Linked DNA regions of Daphnia pulex. The protein of the gene in region 3 interacts with the protein of the main gene of each other region in a biochemical or structural test. Links are inferred from orthologs where the notes say so. Each region holds a gene or a part of one and is shown on either strand. Other genes may lie near its edges. The genes, in order: ubiquitin-conjugating enzyme E2 G1-like, large proline-rich protein BAG6-like and E3 ubiquitin-protein ligase AMFR-like.

The links.
Region 1: the proteins of E3 ubiquitin-protein ligase AMFR-like (region 3) and ubiquitin-conjugating enzyme E2 G1-like form a complex in vitro, tested with the Homo sapiens proteins (7 studies listed by BioGRID, with this or other methods). The link is inferred for Daphnia pulex from reciprocal best matches to the Homo sapiens genes AMFR and UBE2G1.
Region 2: the proteins of E3 ubiquitin-protein ligase AMFR-like (region 3) and large proline-rich protein BAG6-like form a complex in vitro, tested with the Homo sapiens proteins (2 studies listed by BioGRID, with this or other methods). The link is inferred for Daphnia pulex from reciprocal best matches to the Homo sapiens genes AMFR and BAG6.

The regions. Positions count from the first base shown.
Region 1 is NC_060027.1:618,664-622,262, forward strand, and holds ubiquitin-conjugating enzyme E2 G1-like, read left to right. Parts: upstream 1-1,502; 5' UTR 1,503-1,673; coding exon 1,674-1,719; intron 1,720-1,921; coding exon 1,922-2,024; intron 2,025-2,087; coding exon 2,088-2,185; intron 2,186-2,250; coding exon 2,251-2,510; 3' UTR 2,511-3,099; downstream 3,100-3,599. Other genes in the region: THO complex subunit 6 homolog, read left to right, coding at 18-251, 322-483, 551-713, 785-939, 1,005-1,092, 1,154-1,240; probable sulfoacetate transporter SauU, read right to left, coding at 3,114-3,208, 3,272-3,368, 3,429-3,599. UniProt on the Homo sapiens protein: Accepts ubiquitin from the E1 complex and catalyzes its covalent attachment to other proteins. In vitro catalyzes 'Lys-48'-, as well as 'Lys-63'-linked polyubiquitination. May be involved in degradation of muscle-specific proteins.
Region 2 is NC_060023.1:11,638,801-11,642,834, reverse strand, and holds the start of large proline-rich protein BAG6-like, read left to right. Parts: upstream 1-1,232; 5' UTR 1,233-1,498; coding exon 1,499-1,567; intron 1,568-1,636; coding exon 1,637-1,754; intron 1,755-1,823; coding exon 1,824-1,976; intron 1,977-2,038; coding exon 2,039-2,267; intron 2,268-2,326; coding exon 2,327-2,768; intron 2,769-2,830; coding exon 2,831-3,712; intron 3,713-3,780; coding exon 3,781-4,034. Other genes in the region: transcriptional adapter 1-like, read right to left, coding at 1-340, 408-695, 755-791, 851-918. UniProt on the Homo sapiens protein: ATP-independent molecular chaperone preventing the aggregation of misfolded and hydrophobic patches-containing proteins.
Region 3 is NC_060017.1:3,098,088-3,102,334, forward strand, and holds E3 ubiquitin-protein ligase AMFR-like, read right to left. Parts: upstream 2,807-4,247; 5' UTR 2,534-2,806; coding exon 2,264-2,533; intron 2,189-2,263; coding exon 1,931-2,188; intron 1,855-1,930; coding exon 1,608-1,854; intron 1,537-1,607; coding exon 1,463-1,536; intron 1,394-1,462; coding exon 1,250-1,393; intron 1,156-1,249; coding exon 1,032-1,155; intron 977-1,031; coding exon 759-976; intron 692-758; coding exon 353-691; 3' UTR 325-352; downstream 1-324. UniProt on the Homo sapiens protein: E3 ubiquitin-protein ligase that mediates the polyubiquitination of lysine and cysteine residues on target proteins, such as CD3D, CYP3A4, CFTR, INSIG1, SOAT2/ACAT2 and APOB for proteasomal degradation.

The DNA.
Region 1 (3,599 bases), on a different chromosome or scaffold from region 3:
CATGTATCTCTTCCTAGTATCAAAAGTTTGTATGCCGAAGATGAACAGGGTCCACGTGAAAGCCTCACATTACCACAGAAATGCTTTTCTGTCAGTACCAAACCTTTGCAAGCTATAACATCTTTAAATGATAACTTACTCGTTGGAGGCAAGAACTGTATTGAGGCATTTAGCTGGAATCAATTGGTGCTTCCACAGAATAGTGATGAGAAGGTGAAACCTTGCTGGAAAGTTGATCTTCGCTTGCCAACGTAACCATATTAGAATATTCTGATTATTACATTTATCATAATTAACTGTTGGTTTTATGTAATTTTATAGTGACTTTGGCACTAAAGAAACTGTAGATTGCATGATTAACGGTGAAAACTCAACTTTTGTTGCTTGTGGAGACAACAATATTCATCATGTAGATCTTGAATATGGGAAAGTTAAACAAACCTTCTCTGGTCATACTGATTTCATTCACTCAATGTCCCTGGTGTATGTAGATGTAGTTACAATTCAAGTTATTGCATAAAAACATTAATTACTTTTTATTGTGTGATAGTGGGAATCAGCTATCAAGTGCAAGTGAAGACGGAACAGTATGCATCTGGGATACTCGAAAATCAAAACCTAATCACGTAATTACACCACATTTGGAGTCTAAACTGAATCGACCCCATCTGGGAAAATGGGTTGGTGCTGTTGCTATGAATGAAGATTGGTTGGTAAGTCTTGTTTAAGGAAGTAATCTAATCGATGAGAAATCACTACAGTTGTTATTTGTCGCATATCATAGGTGTGTGGAGGAGGCCCGCACTTAGGACTTTATCATTTACGATCTTTGACAATGAGTAGAGTATTACTCGAAGAAGACGTCCATGGTGTTAACAACGTTATGTTTCACGAAGACAATATAATCGTCGGCGTAGATGGACCGTTTGTATACCAATGGTAATTTTTAAAAATTTAAATTTCCCCCTTGACACTAATGTGTGAGCTGGGTCAATTATTTTTAGCTTATTTTCGGGAGATATTACCGTCAAAATGCCTACAAGTCCCCTTAGAGTCTACAGTATTTGCCTCCAGAAAAAGGATGCAAATAAAGTAAAAAAATATTATGATAATGAAATGAAAAACAAATATAATCTTTGGATTGTTATATTAGTTGCTATTCGTCGGCGGATCCGGTGGAGACATTGACATTTGCACCAGTTCTAAACTACAAGATCAAGTGATTCGTTGTCTTTCATGAATTATGTATCGTCATTTGAACATTTTCATCTCGCTTGCCCTTCCATCAATTATTATACAAAAAAAAACAAAGACATCTGCCATGTCTTTAGATTAATAATGTCAAATTGTGATGTTTTATATCGAGTAATGTTCACAAGAAAATACATCGTGATAATTTATTTCTGGGTTTATTGAATCAATGTTTATTTTAGGAGTGCAATTTAAAAAAAATTAAAATTTATAAAACATGCATTGACGGCATTGACGGAGATTGGTCCGTGACCTGGCCGTGATTAAATTGATTGGCCAACAACGCGCGAGCTCTAGAGGAAGGAAGGAGATTTGGCAACGTCAAAGGCTAGGACGAAGCAAGCAACGTGCTTGGAAAGACTTCTCAACTTGAGAGAAGACTTCTCAAGTTCCTCTCAACAAATTTACGTTTTGATTTCATTATGTCCGAATTGCAGTCAGCATTACTTCTTAAAAAACAGCTAGCAGGTAATTCAGTTGTTCTTGGAACAGGTTATGTAAGATGAAGAGCGTGCGAGTCGCTGTACTTTTTATTTGTTTCACCAGTTTCACTCATTCAATGGCGTTGGCTGACGGCTTTCTTGTTTGTTATATGCTTGACTTGAAATTTTTTATCGAGTTTAAGTGTTGTTTTAACATTCGTTTATTTGTCATTTCATCATTTTTGCAGAGTTAAACAAGAACCCTGTTGAGGGTTTCTCTGCTGGACTCATCGATGACAGTGACATTTATCGATGGGAAGTCCTGCTCATTGGACCACCCGACACTCTTTAGTAATTTTTTTATTAATGTTTTAATGAATTGTAATATCATTTTTATCATTTGAAATTTGACAGTGAGGGAGGGTTCTTCAAAGCACACATCTACTTCCCCAAAGAGTACCCGCTGAGGCCTCCCAAAATGAAGTTCATTACAGAGATTTGGCACCCTAATAGTAAGTTGTGTTTTATTTAATTCATTATTTTATCTATGTATATCTAATTATATTATTTCCAATAGTTGAGAAGAATGGTGATGTTTGCATATCTATACTTCATGAGCCTGGAGATGACAAGTGGGGTTACGAGAAAGCTTGTGAGCGGTGGTTACCCATTCACACTGTGGAAACTATTATGATCTCGGTCATCTCTATGCTGGCAGACCCCAATGATCAGAGCCCGGCTAATGTAGACGCAGCCAAAGAATGGCGAGAGAACTTCCCAGAATTCAAAAGGAAGGTGGCAAGGTGCGTTCGCCGGAGTCAAGAAGAAATGTTGTAAGGAACCGAGTAAAGATGAAATAGGCAGTGTAATGTCATCCAATAATTCAGTTGTGTCAAGCCCCCTCGACAGGATTTTCTCCTGCCTAACTGAATTTTAGGAAGGATTTCTCTCCAAACTCGCTCATTTGTCTTATTTTTCCTCTCCGATTCTATATTGCTTTGAATTCTATACAAAACAAAATAATAAAAGAAACGTTTCGAAAACTTCACAAACGAAATGTTCAGAGGAATGTCATGAAGGTAGGCCATGCATGAAATCTAGGATTAAAATTTTCTGATGAAAACTTAGTTGCCTGTTGCAAACCGAAAAATTTAACTAATGAATTCTCCAACCTTATTTAAATGCAAGAGAAAAACAAAATTCAAACAAGTTATGTCACCACAACTTGTAGTTTCACCTCGTGATATCTTGTCATTTTATATATTTTTTTAAAAGCAAGTTTTCTTCCTTCTTTCCTCATCTTTGAAATTAACATTTCCTTACTCGTCACCCTTCAATTTATCCCATACGGGTGATTGTGTGTGCGTGTTTTTGCACGTCTGAAAAGCAATTTTTGACAAGAATAAATGTCGATTCAGGCCTTGTATTTTGAGCAATCCATTATGATTCACAATTTTCAGCTCCAGTTAAGGATTTCTTGCGTCCTTCGTTTGAATTGCGCAAAGCAATTCCCAGTAACCCGAAAAGAGCAGCACCTATTCAAATTTACATAATTTCTTATCCCATAGATTTAAAAAAAATTATTTTATGAAATTTACTGATCAAGAAGAATCCTGGATAAAACAGAATAAGAGTCTCCCTGTATCCCATAAGCTTGCTGATTGGAGTAATGATGACTGGCAAATTACCTCCAACCTATTAGAATTGCATGTAAGTTATCATTTCTAATAATAAAATAAAATTTAACTTTAATACATTGTTCATAACGAATAAGAAGACAGCAATAACGAAGGAACACGCTGTGGATGGCACCAATTCGATCAAAATGGCGAAAAGTACACCAAACCACATTTCGGCAAAAAGATACGCAATCAGCAGAGATGCAAAGCAGTAGGGCGGAGGTAGGAGCAACACACCTGCTGCAAA
Region 2 (4,034 bases), on a different chromosome or scaffold from region 3:
GGATGGACCATGAATTGTGTAGCCACGGATTAATTGTAGGTTGGCCAACCGAATAGATGACTTTGTTCTCTCGAAGGCGGTACCCTTTCCGGTTTGTTATGATAGCAATTATCAGTTCTTTAAGAAATTGCTTGGTAGCTGCCAGTATCAGTTTGATGGCTTTGTCTTCACAACCATGATCCAAACCAGCATCCCAAGCTGCTACTAGCATTCGACCGTGAACGAGTCCAGCGTCAGGTAAAATTAGATCCTGGCTGCAGTAACGAAGCTGTGGTTTCTCTACAGTGCAAGGAGCAGAAAATGGTAACAGAGAAACTGGATTCACTGGTTGGAATCGATTCTAGATAAGAAAAGAATTATGTTAATCAAGGTCTCCAATGAAAATTCCAATAATTAAGACATATTACATCAAAGTTGACAGTGAGAGGCTTGTTCTTTGGGTAAACTTGTCTTGTCACAGTGATCGGTTTGATTTCAACAGAATTACGTTTCTGTAGAGGAATGGTATGTGGTCTGATTTTGTTCACTTCAGTGACAACAATTGGCTTTTGCTTCACACCATGATAGACATAGGTTGAAGGCTGGCACAAGCTTTGACATTTTGTAACAATGGCCAAAAGAAACTCATTGTGAAGATGAACTTGGTCTACTTTCAGGTACAATCTGGCTTGGCGATCAAACTCTTCTTTGCTTGTCTAAATAGAGAGAATGTCAGTTATGACTGAATGGATAGTATAAAAGAAACATTTCTTACCCTCATACAAAACCACGATTTCAGGTGGGCAAAATAACTAAATAAAACATGATATTAGAGATATACCACCACAAATATCAAATCTGATTTATTTACTTCTTAGAAGAATCTCCCAAAACATCCACCAACCGTTTCCTGGCTTCGTTAACATCAAGTGCATTCATTGTTGTTGTGTTCTGACTTTTGAACTGCTTCGCTCACTTTTTTAGATTTAACTCGCCATTGGATTTCGTCTACACCTGTCTTGCCTCGACTATCGAAAACCACCAAAAGATGGTGCTCATTCCAGGAATTGATTTTCATAAAATAATTTTTTCCTTGAATTTGTCATTGATAAATATAACGTGTAAAATTAGATAAAATCTTGTTCGTAAAATGTACAAATTATCATGAAATTGAAGTGAATTCCTCTTTTACGGTTTAAAACCAAGAGAAATAGGTGGCGTTGTAACACAACTTGGTTCGTAAGCCTATGAATTGTCGGCTGTGTCGTGTCGTGTCGATTCGATGTGGAGACAGTTGCGCCTCTATTTGTTATCGTGTATTATTACAGGCCCGATTTCCAGTTTTCCACGTTAGAGATTTACATTTCGACACCCATTACACAACTGACGTCGGTTCAGAGCCGTCCGGTTAGATCGGTAAAATAAAAAATACTGAAACCGAATAATTATTATTAGTGTGTCTGTATCGTCACCAAACTACAGCGAGGTTGGAACTCGAGGTGGTGAAAGCTAAACAAAAATGGCAAATATTGAAGTTACCGTCAAAACCCTCGATTCGCGTAATCATAAATTCACAGTTTCAGAGGAGGTAAGACCATTAAAAGAAACGACTCGTGAGTTTTAGATAGGGGAAACTAACTGGATTTCTGTTTTGCAGCTCACAGTCAAGGAACTTAAAGAACACATTGCTGGGGATGTAGGAACACCAGCAGAGACTCAGCGTTTGATTTACTGTGGCAGAGTTCTTCAAGATGACAAAAAGCTCAGTGAATATGGTAAATTGAAAATACTCTTTCCTAGCTCAAAACAAATGATTGGCATGTAAATGTTTTTGTGTTTTACAGACCTGAGTGGAAAAGTCATTCACTTGGTCCAGAGAGCACCTCCAACAGTTGGTAATCCTCCTTCAGGACCACCAAGAACTCAAGGATCTAGACCAGGAAACATTCACTACCACCTAGACAGAGGGTTTCAAAATGGTGCCAATCATTCATTTGGTAAATTTCTCATCATTATTAAAAGTAGAAATCTCAATAACAATGTTTACGATCAAATGAAGGTTCAGTACCAGCTCCAGCCGGAAGTAGTTCTCTGTTGCGTTTGAATACAGCCAGACACATGCTGGAGGATGCCTCACAGAGTTTGGGAAGGATCAGTTCAGTTCCCAGCACTGGTTCACTCTTTACAATGGATAATACTGCTGAGGGACCCTACTCATCCATACAAATGGTTCAAGCACAGGCTGCCACTGCTATAGCTGCTGCATTTTCAACTGTTCAATCCTTGGGGTAATGACAAACCTCCAAACTAAAAAACTAAAAATGTTAGTTACGTTTCTTTTTATCAGGGCAAACAATATTGCCGTGTTGCAAGGACCTAATGGATCACCAGCAGTTCAAGGATCGTTTGGTTTTCGGGTGCAAGGGCCTCAACCAAATAATCCACCAGAGAGTGGCAGTGGCGCGAGCGAACGCGTAAGTCCTACAGCTCCGACTTCAACAACACCCCCTTCAACAACTCCTCCTTCAACCACCCCATCTGCAACTCCTTCGTCGGCTCCTTCGTCAGCTCCGTCGTCAGCTGCAGCTCCTCCTGGTGACCAACAACCTCGACAACAGCAAATTCGAAATCCTCGAGTGTCTGTCTTTGCCGATGTCATCGAAGATATGGAACGGATCCAGCAGGATCTTCGCCCTCATTTGACAACCGTCCGTCAGCTCCTCAGAGATGATCCCGTATTGGACAGCACATCACCTGAATACCGGCAAGCACAACACACCTACAACCAGGTTCAGTAAAATCATATTATATTTTCCTTTCCATGTTTTTCAATTGATTTTTGATCCAAAAGGTAGCCGAAGGATTGCACTTTTTGGCCCACGCTTTTCACGCCATGAGCGATTTAATGGTTGACTTTGGAACTCCCCCTCCTCGTGAAGTCCGTGCTAGACCCTACGTCTACCAACAAGTTCTTTCATCGACCATACCCATTCACGCTTCAATCAGCGTCGAGACTACACATACCCACCGAGCTCCTCAGACACAGGCTAACCCAGCAGCTCCTGAGGCCGCTACAGCTCCTCAACCGCAACCAGCGCAAGCTCCTCCGCGATTGCCCACAAGAATATCTCCTCATGAGTTCATCCGACACGTTACCCGCCCACCCACTGCAGCTACTGCTGCCAATCCATCAGTTCCTCCAACTACAAATCCGACATTTCATGGTTGGCGGGCTGCTGGAACGACCGGAACGGGTGTAGCTAATGCATCGGCGCAGAATCCCCCAGCTCCAAGAGCCTCAGTCCAAATGCTGCACCCTGAAATGCTGGTCAGGGGAGGACCGCACCCGTTTGGACGTTTGCCTTTAGCCATGGCGAGTCAAGGAGGCTGGACCCCTGTCAATTTAGGTGGTCAAATGCATCCAATGTCGCTCTTTATGGAAGTTCGCTCGAACAACAATCAACAGGAAGATCAACAAGCGTCTCGTGGGCAATCACCAACATCTTTGGGCGAATTTGACGACTTTTTACCGTGTCATTCTCGACATGTTACCCGCTCGTCTTCATCCAGACCCGACACTGAGCGAGCCAGACCACGCCCAGTGGTTGTCACTTCCACGTCGGCGGCACAAGCTTTTCCCGGTCTCAATCAAACCCGTCCACCAGGCCCTGGAAATCAACCGACAGCCGTTCCGGCCTCCGTCGACGAATTTATGAACGAAATGTTTCGTCAGGTAATTGCGGCATTGAAAATTGCGAGAGGAAAACATTGATAATGATTGGTCATTAAATGGAAATTCAGGTGACGGCCAATAGCGGTGTACTATCAGGCGGGGTAGTAGCAGGTGGAACGAGTGGTGGAGATGGATCCAGCAGCCCTAATCCAGTGTTAACCAACGCCTTGTTTAGTAGTTTGCTCCAGGGAGTCATGCAAGAAGTTGCGGGTGTGGTGAGTGGCCATCAGTCGCCCAACACGGTGGCCCATTTCTTACGCAACATTCCTGATTTCACTTACACGGCCGGCGAGTCGTTCCTCTTTGACCTCTTTATGACTAT
Region 3 (4,247 bases):
AAAAAAATGTCACACATTTCCGATTTCGTCCTCTACATGTTTGGTAATCAAATGTTACTATTGATTGCGCATTCACTTCGTCGGTAGTGAATCAGTAAAATCACGTTTGTAGGCCCTGTTTGACAGTGAACGTCTGTGTGATGGGACTAGCTTGCGGCATAGAGAGGGTTTTCTTCCACGCCCAGTCGAGCGAAGCGGTATTTCGTAATTATTAAAAAGGCACTATCTTTCTACTCATAATTTACCTTGCCAATATACAAACAGGTTTTTTGAATTATGAGATGCACTAATGCATAATTTACGCACTTTAGGATCAATAACAAATTAGAATCACACGTGTATAGCAAGAAAATCAACTTTCAATGATAGTGGAATTGTTTTCGAGTGCTTGTCTCTGAAGAAAGCGATTTCGAGCTTCCGCGATTAATTCATGCTTACGACATTGAAGAATGTGTTGTCTTTCTTGCGGATCATCAACAAAGAGCTTCTCTGGTTCCTGGGAAACATCAAATTGGTTTTCTTGCCTGGCGAATGTTGGCAACGTAGATAGACTAGGCTCTTGTTGAAAGCTGGGAAGTGTGGGCAGAAGACGACCCTCTAATATATTCTCAACTGTTAAGTCTACTGAGCGAGTTTGCCGTAGATCTTCAACGATAACAGAAAACGAATAATCGGGAAACAATTGAAGTACCTACAACGATAAACATTTAAATTGTTGAACAAGAATTAGTAGAATTTTATGATAGATTTCGTCACACCTGATCAGCTAAAGCTTCCAATTGAGAGTTTTCTGCAGCTGCTACTACCGGAGTATCAGTGTTTTGTTGAAACAGTCGACTCCAGCCCGTCCACGATATAAAACTTGCAGTTTCCCGGGGACGTGAAGACGAAGCAGTTTCTTTCGATCCATCTTCTAAAAGTTGGCGTCGACACGTAGGGCACGTAGGATCCTGTTCCAACCAGTGCAACAGACAACCTATACAAGTATAGATAGATGAAGGATTGCCTCATTAATTGTTATGAATCAATACCATGATGAAAATGATGACCACACGGCAACCGTCTGGCTACAGCTGCTGCTTCCCAGCAAATGGCACATTTGTTATCCTCCCATTCAGATTCGAGTTCGAAATGGAGTGTTTCCAAGGGACAGCACTATTATAACAGAATAAATTACTAAATGATTAAAACTAGAGACTTGGCAGAAGAAGGGGAGATTAAGATATTTTAGATCGACTCGAGTACAAACCAATTCCACCAATTTCAGCAACCGTTTGTAGTTCCCGTGTCGCCGGAGACGTCCACACAGCTGTTCGTAGAGCACTCGCAGTTGCATGAAAATGACCAAAGATGCCATAGAGAGCAGCATATTCGCTCGCAGAAGCATGTGAATCTAAACGAAAAGAGACAAAAAAGGGGTTACCGAAATTCAGTCGCATTGCAGAAAGCAATTTCGTCTCACATGATGTGCCAAATCCACAACGAGGCATGAAATCTCCACCGCCAATTCCACGTAGTACGACGAAGGACTCCACCCTATGATCCAACAATCGTCAGATGTTTGAGCACATCGAGAGTCTCTGTTGCGAATGCGCAACTCAAGTAACCTTGAGAGATCTGATGGATGGGCGGATGACAAGACTGCAGGTAGAGGATGTATCTAAAGATAACGTGGGTGGTACGTAAAGCCAAGAGAAGACATTCCGGGGCGACCAAGGCAAATGTAATCCATCCAGCGCGTTGTCCAACGGCGAGGCAAATCAAAAATAATAATCCCGATGCCACCAGAATCGATCCCAGCAGGGTAAGCAAGCGGATGTGTCGATTTCGAGGGGTACATGGAGTCATAGATAACTATAATTTCGCCAAACATAAGATAAATTACAATACCTGTTTGAGCTTTTAAAAAAGAAAGATAAAATCCAATTACATATTCAAATCTGTCTTGGCAAAGTTGAGCATGAATGTGTAGAAAGCCAATAACAGAAAACCAGGACCCCCATAATATAACACCTTCCATACTTTGAACATTTTTAATGCCAAATATAAAAATAAATTTGTAAAACACAAAATTCCAAAACTTGTCTTTGATGTGCTGTAGTTCAGAAACTCTTAGTTCCCCAAACACCTGCTTCTGCAGCCAATTTCCAAATAATACAAGGAGGCAGTAAGCCATGTTCACAACAATCTGTAAAGGATAGAAGATAAAAAAGGATTAAAGTGTTGGATATTGACTAATAATATAGGATGGCCATGTTCTAACCCAAATGCAGAGACTGTCATGGATAGAAAATGACACAATATCTTGAGCTCTGGAGCTGAGCCAGTAACGAGACAGGATGTTTGAAATAAATGCTTGCAAGGAGTTGGGAATCTCTTGGCTGCTATTCGTTTTAACAAATTGCATCCTCCATTCAGGGTTTTGTGTTTTTTCTGCAGCGTAGTGAAGAGACAAACCCAAAAGAGAAACACTGACTACCGCGTAAGCTTCCAAACTCGGGAGAGGTAGTCTCTCAAGTAGTAAGACAGGCATGTTGTTGTTGTTGACACAGAAAAATTGGGTTCACAAGACGACAAAACTACTAACAAATCTGGGGTGAAAATTGCATTTGAAAACATCAGCAGAAATAACTAGGATTAGCTAGCACAGCAATTCAAGGCAATTTCATCTTGATAACACTGCGTTATCTAACGACCATTTCGATAACAAGTGCCTTGTCAAATGATTCAATAATCCGAAAATGTGTCAAAACTCTGATAAGGCGGGTAAGGCTAAACAGCATCTAGTACACGTAAACACTGCAAACGGAATGAAAAAAAATTACTGACGTTTTGGGCGTCAACCTCAAAAAGTTCCAGCAAACTATTTTCTAGCAAGGTCAAAAATATGCAAAAATTACAAGGCAGATTTCGTCTCGCTATCCCCAGGGGAAAAAATGTATTCAATGTCAACTTTGCATACATGTTCTCAAATGTAGATGTAGACTGAATTGCGCTCTCGGAGACTCGGACAGTCAAGCTAATAAATATTCAATTATTCATTACGCATGTGATGCTGGGACTGGGCTGAATCTGTTTTTAGATCGACGAATACTGGTTTGTTATTAAAAATGAAAAAGATACGTCACAAGTCTGAGTAGATTTTATTGTTTTTACTCAGAAACAACTTCAATAAGATCCCTTAATAATTTTCTGAGATATATTCGCTAAATATTCCGCAACATTCTCCCGCACCAAAAATGCTCAGTTTTATGGCACTGCCCTAAGACACGCATAAGAGTACTCAATTACGCTAATCTAAATTGCACTCCCGAATCAACCTTGAAAAGAAAATGTATTCACTATTATTATTTCTGCTTTGATGGCAACGCGTGATGGAAGACAGAAAAAAGGGAGAAACATCAGAAATAAAACGTTGTCTAGCTGCATGTCTAGCCGATTTTATCGTCTTGTTGGGCGGTTATGAAAAAAGTAGCGTGTCATTTCGTACCAGATGGGGACCGGAAGAAGGTGTCCTTGCACACACACGGCACTGTTATAACGCCTGATTTGCGTCCTCAACATTCGTTACAATAGGGCGTCAGCTCTGCAAAGTAACTGAACCGTTAAATTCTGTAAATGTTCACATTCGAGACAATTTGAATCCACTACATACCAAAGTCTTATCGCGTACCTCCTGATGGTCACGACAGGTCAAGGTTTCCATTTGAAATTTGCGCCCTGTTTCGCTTTTATCCGATGTAGTGGTAATCCTTCAATATAAATAAATGAAGCAACAATAACTTTGCGAAAACAAGGGATGGCTAAGTAATTGAAGTGACTTTTGAAGTTCATTTCATTTTCTCTTTCTCTGCACTTTAAAGAGAATCTTTTTTTTTTTTTCATTTTGGCTCTATTCCAATTTCTTATACTGTAGCGTTTTACAACACGCATTTCACAAGCAGTTAACATTTATGTTTATCATGTTAGTGTTAAGTTGTTATTTGCGAGGTTATTTGGTTGAGCCAAATTTGGATTATTGGAATTCAACAAGATATGTTTGCGGAAAACGCCGCTATACAGCTCCCAGCATTAAATGGGTAATATAGCTTCAAAGCCGAATTCTGGCTATCATTCCAATTATTTTTCAGACGAATTAAGACCTATTCTTCGTAGACGACCTTCCAACCTGTCAAGTAAAGAAATATGGAATTCTTTTCTTTTGATTAAAATTCTATTTTATAAGTTGTATTTCTTAAAAGACTGTT